Arabidopsis thaliana: one gene and its partner. The protein of the gene in region 2 interacts with the protein of the main gene of each other region in a pairwise test. Each region holds a gene or a part of one and is shown on either strand. Other genes may lie near its edges.

Region 1 (4,683 bases), about 13 Mb from region 2:
ATTTTGTTCACACAACCAATGTGGAATATCTATGTTAGATGATTAAGATTAAGTACAATACTAATTATCTCTTGGCCCTTTTAGTTATGTTGATTAATGATGAAAAATACTTGGGTTCACCCCTAGGGTTAAACGAGGTTAAATGTCGGTTTGAGTTTATTTCAAAAGGTTTGGGTTTAGAAAGTACGATTAGGGTTTAGTTTTATGATTAAACGGGTTAAATATTGGTTTAGGTTTATAAACAGATTTAGATTTTACAATTAAACGAGGTTAAATGTCGGTTTAGGTTTAGAAATTACGATTAGGATTTAGTTTTTTTACGATTAGATGAGTTTAAATGGCGGTTTGGGTTTACAAAGAAGAATTAGGGTTTAGATTTTGTAATTAAACGAGATTATATATCGGTTTGGATTATAATTATAGCTTTAGTTTATTATGTAATTTAAGTAGGAATTGACATTGCATGTTTTTTTTGGTTAATATAAAGGAGGTGAAGAATCCTTAAAAAAGCTAGCTAACAGCTCATGAGCTCTAATCGGTCCATTGGAGCTAGGATACTAATAATTTGAGGTATGAGTTTGATACAAATAACATTTATTGGTAAAAGTAAACACAAACGGCAAACAGTGAGTTTGCATGTAGCACATAAGTTAGTTGCATGAAGACACAACTACAATATAGAGAAAACGAGGACAGAACACGTTAGTGTCCTAGTTTGTAACATCTTTAAGATCTTGTTCATGATCATCATTCTTGAGGTTTCTGTATTTGTAAAACCAAGAGCAGACAAGGAAGTAGCCGAAATTAGAGACTCCTATAATGACTAATACCAAGTAAACATTGTCAACCCTTCCGTGGTTTATGTCATTTGGTAACCACTTGGTGGTCCTCTGGATCACATCGATAAGAGCTGTGCTCAGATAGAAAGAGATTCCCATCACCACCGAGGTCAATGAAGTCGCTGTGTTCCTTAGAGACTCAGGGAATTCTCCATAGAATATTGCAATATTTGCTGGAAAATGAAAGGCCTCACCTATTCCATTAATCACGAGAGCAGGAACCAGCCATAGCACTGACATGAGATGGCTATTTTCAACTGTTTTCAGCCTCTTTGCTTCAACAACGGCTGATATCGCCATGCTTAAGATTGTCAAAACGTGGCCGATCCCGACTTTTTGTAGCGGTGTCAGCGGTTTGCGGATTAGCTTCTGATACATGGGATAGGTAGTCCAGTTGTTAAGTATGATAAAGACGCATCCAGAGACGAGTGCTATGACTTGCATAGACCCAGCAGAGACTTTGAAGTGTGGGCCAAGTTTACGGTCCATGACCATAGCTTGGAGGACAGTCATGCTCATTTGCACCGCTAGGGGAGCGCTGAGGAACATGACAGATGTCCAGAGAGGGACAAGTCGGAGAACGGCTTTGAAATCTTCTACTTCCTGAACAGAGCATAGCCTCCACATGTTATTATTTGAGTCTCCTTCTGTCTTCAATGCTGCACGGTTCAAGAACCTGCATAATAAAAATCCCTCTTTATTAGCTCTCTTTTTAAGTTCCATGAATCAGGAAAGCTTTTTGTTTTCACCTGAAGCTCTTGGAGGGCATTGCAACATAAGTCTTGGTCTCTTTTTCGAGCTCGCGGTGATGATAGTCTTCGTCTTTGTATGAAATCACAGCCTTTCGTTTCATTGTAGCAGCGACTAAAACGCGAACTAGACTTGTATAAGGACTTCCCAAAGGTTGGTCATGCTCGTAGAGTCTCTTCCCAGCGACGAAAATGATGAAACTGATCAAGTTAGCAGCGACGCAGAGACCGAATCCAAGCTTCCAGCTAGCATTGTCCTGTGCATATACAATTGCTGTCGTGCCAGTAATCGCTCCACCATATAGTGTGAAAAAGTACCAGTTGAAGAACCTTCCTTGTTCTTTAGGTTTCTTATATTGGTTTGCACCTGCGGATGCCAAGATGAACCGCGTCCCAGCTGTTCCAGTGATCACTAGAGCTAAGGCTGCATACAAGATCCCAAGTTGTAGTTTTGATGGTGATTGGCATAAAATTGATCCCGTTTCACACGGTCTAGGTCTCAAATAGTCCAAAGATGCAATAAGAGTCAAGAGCGATATTCCCTGAAAAATGTTTCAAAACAGGTAAGCTTTTATATCAGAAGTTGTTTAAGAAAGCATTAGGCATGCGGTGACCTAGTGTCTAGCACCTAAAACGCTTAGTCGGATAACCTTAGGCAGTTTAGCCAGTTTAGACATTTATTACATAAAACATTAGAAATATGAGCTTATACTTAAAACATTATATAAAATACATATTAGAAAAATAAAAATAGAATATCGTAAACAAAGTATAGACAAAACATTTCTTTAATGTACATCAAAACAATATATGAACGATTGTAACTATGTATATAGAGATAAAACCTACTTGAAAATTAGAAAATGCACTAAAACTAGGCGTATATACATTTTAGGCGGTCGAAACAGTTGTTTAGGCATTGTCTGAGCGCCTTAAACTAGGTCTGTGTAATTTTAGGCGGTCAAAACGGTTGCCTAGTAACTGCCGATACCGTTTTTAAAACACTCATAACACATAAAAGAATTGGTGAGTGTTAAAACTTACAGTTAGAGAAATGAAAGCGGAGGCTGAGATGACAGGAATGTTCCCAAAAAAGGAATCGGCTAGGATGGCTGCGACAACAGGCAACATGTTGACAACTCCATTGACAATATTTGAAATCTGAACAGCTGCGATGCTCTTGATGTTGAATTCCTCGATCAAGAAGACGATCAAGTTCATTACCCATCCAAAATAAGTTATCGACATGCCTAACAATGTAACTGCACCACATAAAAACTTTACAATCATCAACATCTGTTTATGTTTTGAGTTCACATAAACAAAAGAGTCAAAAACACAAACCGAGCATGAACGGTAAAGTGATCCAGCCACCATGCTTGCTAGAGCGATGCGCTTCTTTGTCACCAGAGTCTGAATTAGCCATGGCAGAGAACAAGTGGAAGCAGGAGGTACTTTGACTTGTGTTTGAGTGTTATAATGCAGTTTAGATAACAACCGTAACCTATATATATAAGCAAATCCATATCAATTATTATATGTTGGTAGTGATCTTTTTTGGTGGCAAAAATTTCATATCAGATTCTGACAGTTCATCTCCTAGTGTCGTTTGCCAATATCAGGTTGGTGAATGTAATAAACAACTAAAAAGCAATCGCCCATATCTTGCCTTATCTTCAGTAGCAGTAAACCACTCCACAAGCATAAGAAAAGTATAAATAGACAAAGATTCAAGAACTTTAAATAAATTTTATTAAAATTTAATATACTCTCGACCAATCATTGAGTCACTTTTGTATGATAAGACCTTAAAATTATTAATTATGAATCAGGAAATACAGAAATGATTTCCTTTTTCTCCAACAAAAAAAAAAACCAAACCACGTTTCTCACATTTCAAACTCTGTTAGAATTAAGCAAGATAGTGAGAGTGGTTATGTAGTTGTTGAAAGAGTTTTTGTTGTCTGATTATTGTCATAAAAAAGGGTCTTTCAAGATGATCAAAACAACAAAAACCACAAGAACAGAACACGTTGTGTCTTAGGTTGTATCGTCTTTTGGATCTTGTTCCTGATCATCATCATCATTCAGGTTTCTATATCTGTAAAACCAAGCGCAGACAAGGAAATAGTTCAAGACTCCTACAATGACTAAAAGCCAGTAAACATTGTCAACTCTTCCATGGTTAATATCATTTGGTAACCACTTGGTGGTCTTCTGGATCAGAGTGATCAGAGCTGTGCTCAGGTAGAAAGATATTCCAATCACCACTGAGGCAATGAAGTCGCGGTGCTACTCAGAGACTCGGGGAATTCTCTATAGAATAATTCAATATTCGCCGGAAATTGGAACGTTTCTCCTATTCCTACTATCACAAGGGGAGGAACCAGCCATAGCACTGACATGGAATGGCCATTAGTAACTGTTTTCAGCCTCTTTGCTTCCACAATGGCGGATATCGCCATGCTTAAAATGATGAAAACGTGGCCTATACCGACTTTTTGAAGCGGTGTCAATGGCTTATGGGCTAGCTTCTGGTACATGGGATAGACAAGGCAATTGTTCATTAAGATAACAATACATGCAGTGATGATTACTATGACTTGGAGGGACCCGGCCGGGATTTTGAAGTGAGGCCCGAGACCGCGGTCTGTGACTAGAGCTTGTAATATAATCAAGCTTGTTTGCGTCACCATGGGAGTACTAACGAAGATGATGGCTAGTAACAGAGGGAGAACTCGGAAAACGGCTTTAAAATCTTCTACTTCTTGAACAGAACATAGCCTCCAGTTGTTATTAACTGAGTCATCTTCGGTTTTCAATGCTGCACGGTTAAAGAACCTGCACATGTAAAAGCTCTTTTAAGTTCTGTTTTAAGTTTGATGAATGAAGCAAGTTTTTTTTGTTTTTTCACCTAAAGCTCTTGGAGGGCATTGCAGAAGATGTCTTGCCTTCTCTTCCAAGCCCATGGTGATAGTCTTCTTCTCTAGATGAAATCACAGCTTTCCTTTTTCTTGTAGCAGCGACTACAACGCGGATCAGATTTGTGAAGGGACTTCCCATTGGTTTGTCATGCTTGTAGTATCTCTTGCCAG
Region 2 (3,261 bases):
GTGATTTCTTATGTACATCAGTTATCTAACTGAGAAAAATATATATTGTGAGAGGTACCAAAGCGTTTTCGGTTCAACCTAGATGAATGAAATTGGAATCTAAGATACAGTAACATAATAAACGTTAAATGTACAAATATCGACTTGTATATTAAAAAATAAACTCTATGACATTATATTGTTTGAGACTATACGAGTAATAGTTATCTTTTGATTTGATTGCCATCATATTCTCACATAAATGCAATGATTTTATATTTAAAAGAACATGTACCACCCATTGCTCATGAAGCAAGCAATGCTTGATCACTAGCTAACATCACTGTAATTTAATATATTGATAAATAACTTTTTATCAGGCGACATATATACAAAAGTTTGTTCAAAGATTTCATATACATGCATGCGTCATATATAACACAATTTTTTTTTTTACCAGGAGATATTTTGATCCTTCATATTGGCTGCGGATATTTTACATCATATCGGTCATAGTAGGTAAACGCGTTCTTCAACTTTAGAAGTCGACAATATATGTTTTGAAACTATTTTTTCCATGAAGTTGGATGATAAAACGATCTTGTCTCTTATAAATGACATAAATATCACATTATTGTATAGAAAACTTGGCAATTGGAATTAAATTTCATTTATTACTCAATTTACAACATCGACCCCTCCATGCGAAATTAATATGCGCGGTTGCAGAAAATTATCCATCCATATTCATAATTAAATTAAAAATATTTAAAACCGAACACCAACAGATAATTAATTTCACAATATTTCCAGTAAAACTGTAAAAAAATGTAAATATTGAATTAAGCCTCATCTTCGAGAACAATAAGGGTAACTTCTCCGCCGTTTAGCCGTAGTCGACGTCTCATTGTAGACGGAGGAGAAGAAACGGTCAATCTCTTCCCGATTCATGATTATCTCACAAGTCGACACTAAAAGCTTCCTCTTGCACGATCTGATCATCAGAGCCGCCGTAGCCGACGGTGCTGACGGTGGTGGCCGGGGTTTTCTCGGCGGAGGAGGTGGAGAGTCTACGACGGCGGGAATCTTGTGTTCTTGGGATGTGGGTGTGCTGCAGCGGAGGTCATCTTCGTCGTCATCACCTTCGTCCTTCTTTGTTTTTGAGGTTTTGGATCGGATCTTGATGGGTGTTGGGAAATTGAATTTGGACAAATCTTGTAGTAATTCAAGATCCATATCTAAACTTGTGTATGTTTTTGTTTTTTGGGAAACTTTTTTTCTTTTGTGGATGTAGAGAAAACTTCTTGGAGAAGTGAGAGGTTGAGAAGGGTTTGTTATATGTGTTTGTGTCTTTACATACACGTATATACATACATAAAGTTAGAATGTCGCATTTAGAAATGAGAGTTACTTTTTGGCATGGAAAACGAAAATAAAATATAAAATATAGTATGGAGTAAGTAAGGTAAAACTATATAAAATGGGAAGGGAAAATGGACGTAACTTCCGAATTTAGAAAAAAATATATTATTTACTAGGGATGGTAAGTTACTTGTATAGTTTGTATGTATTTGTGTTTATGTACAAAACTAGCTAGAGCACATGTGATTCACAATTTGTAAGGGTTGCCTAATTTTGTTAGTGATTGCTTAAAACCTTTGGGATGACCTTAGTAAGATGACTAGCTATATTAAGTTTTGTACTGTAATATTTGTTGAATAATAAAAAAAAGTGAAAAAAATGACTGGAGATTTCCCAAAAAGTTTACAAAAGACAAATGAAACTCTAAAGTTTGGAAGTGCGAGTGAATTAAGGAGGGCCATAACTCATGAAACAAACGCAAATGGTGTTCTCGTACCATCGGTCTCCTATCTAAAGACGTGTGGGTTATGGTCTCAACAAGAACATTAAAGTGTGTCTATATAGAAACTTTTACTTAATAAAAAAACTCGAACCATCAAAGTAATAGTAATACCATCTATAGGTAGTAAAGAAAAGTACACACATATATATACAAATTTTAGATCAATGTCTTATCTTAGATCTCAAACATAAAGTTTGGTTAAATGTGTGTCTTGTACCTATTACAAACCTAAAAACATGGCATGTGATTAGATTTAAAACTAGTCCATGCATCATTATATTTTATGTAAACAATTGATTGCATCAGTTTCTGTATCCTCTACTTTAATAATTACTTAATGTCCAATGTGAGAAGCTGTATAATTTTTATGTGACATTATGATTTCAACATATACGGTGGACCCACAACGTTTTACACGCCAAGTTTAATAATGTAGAAAAAAATGTAAGCCTTTGCCATGCCATAGAACAATTATTAGACTTGTAACATGAGTTTGCTTTGCTTACTCATCCTAAACACTTTGCGTTTTTCAACTTAATGTAAGATCTACATTGGTTTACAAAATCTAATTATTAAATTACAACCGAAAAATAGATTTGGTACGATTATAAATTTAGTTTATACTTTGCTATACGTTGTTGATGTTCTTTTTGTCTTCATTCTTAGAATTATCAGTACTCTTAACATGTACACAAACTCGCTAAGCTAGCTGTATATTTATGTAATTAATTATTACATTTGCTGAGTAATTTTACGGCAAAATATGACATATTTTGGACATGCCACGTAGAAAAGCATGTGATGATGATATATACTGTATATAGAGTAGATCTGTGTAAGTGAGTCAGTGGTAATATCTAACTAAAAAAGTACAGAAATGGAAAGATCTATATGATCTCTCTCGCAGGATCTCAATCTCTGGCCCTTTTTTTTGTCAACCCTTCTTCCTCTCTTATTATGTTCTTCTCTCTCTTTTCTTTTGGTTACTGTAATTTGTTTTTTTGTTTATTGACATTGACACGTTTTCTTGCTTCGATTTTTACGGAAAGAGAGATATGTATATGAGGAATTAGGATAAGTCGATGTAATTTTGTAAGGCCACGAAACCATACGATCACAATCAAACAATCTGTAGCATTTAGAATCCATCAATTATAATCGATGTTGAAGTTTCGGTGGTCCAATATACTTACGGTTGTTAAAACTTTGGCCAAAACGAATCGTCTAAAAGCAATACCAGATTTAAATGGAATGTAAATGGAAAAGGAATCGAGAAATAAGAACAACTGATCTTAAAGTCTCACAATGTCCTACAAATTAAAAATGCACTTGTAATAATAGTAATAATAATTAATTATATTAAAAAAACTCCTTGCAATAAAATCATAATTTATGTAATTCAAAATAGATCTTGTCTG

What was found.
Region 1: the proteins of LGO (region 2) and AT3G45700 interact in a protein complementation assay, tested with the Arabidopsis thaliana proteins (one large-scale study listed by BioGRID).

What each region holds. Positions count from the first base shown.
Region 1 is NC_003074.8:16,777,096-16,781,778, reverse strand, and holds AT3G45700 (Major facilitator superfamily protein), read right to left. Parts: upstream 3,067-4,683; 5' UTR 3,015-3,066; coding exon 2,933-3,014; intron 2,851-2,932; coding exon 2,633-2,850; intron 2,131-2,632; coding exon 1,589-2,130; intron 1,516-1,588; coding exon 711-1,515; 3' UTR 511-710; downstream 1-510. Other genes in the region: AT3G45690 (Major facilitator superfamily protein), read right to left, coding at 3,629-3,880, 3,976-4,429, 4,503-4,683. UniProt on the Arabidopsis thaliana protein: Transporter involved in a passive nitrate efflux.
Region 2 is NC_003074.8:3,280,748-3,284,008, forward strand, and holds LGO (LOSS OF GIANT CELLS FROM ORGANS), read right to left. Parts: upstream 1,385-3,261; 5' UTR 1,304-1,384; coding exon of another isoform or gene 1,274-1,303; 5' UTR 1,232-1,273; coding exon of another isoform or gene 1,216-1,231; coding exon 829-1,215; 3' UTR 559-828; downstream 1-558. Other genes in the region: AT3G10527 (uncharacterized protein), read left to right, coding at 929-1,231, 1,274-1,303. UniProt on the Arabidopsis thaliana protein: Probable cyclin-dependent protein kinase (CDK) inhibitor that functions as a repressor of mitosis in the endoreduplication cell cycle. Cooperates with SIM and SMR2 to promote endoreplication during leaf development.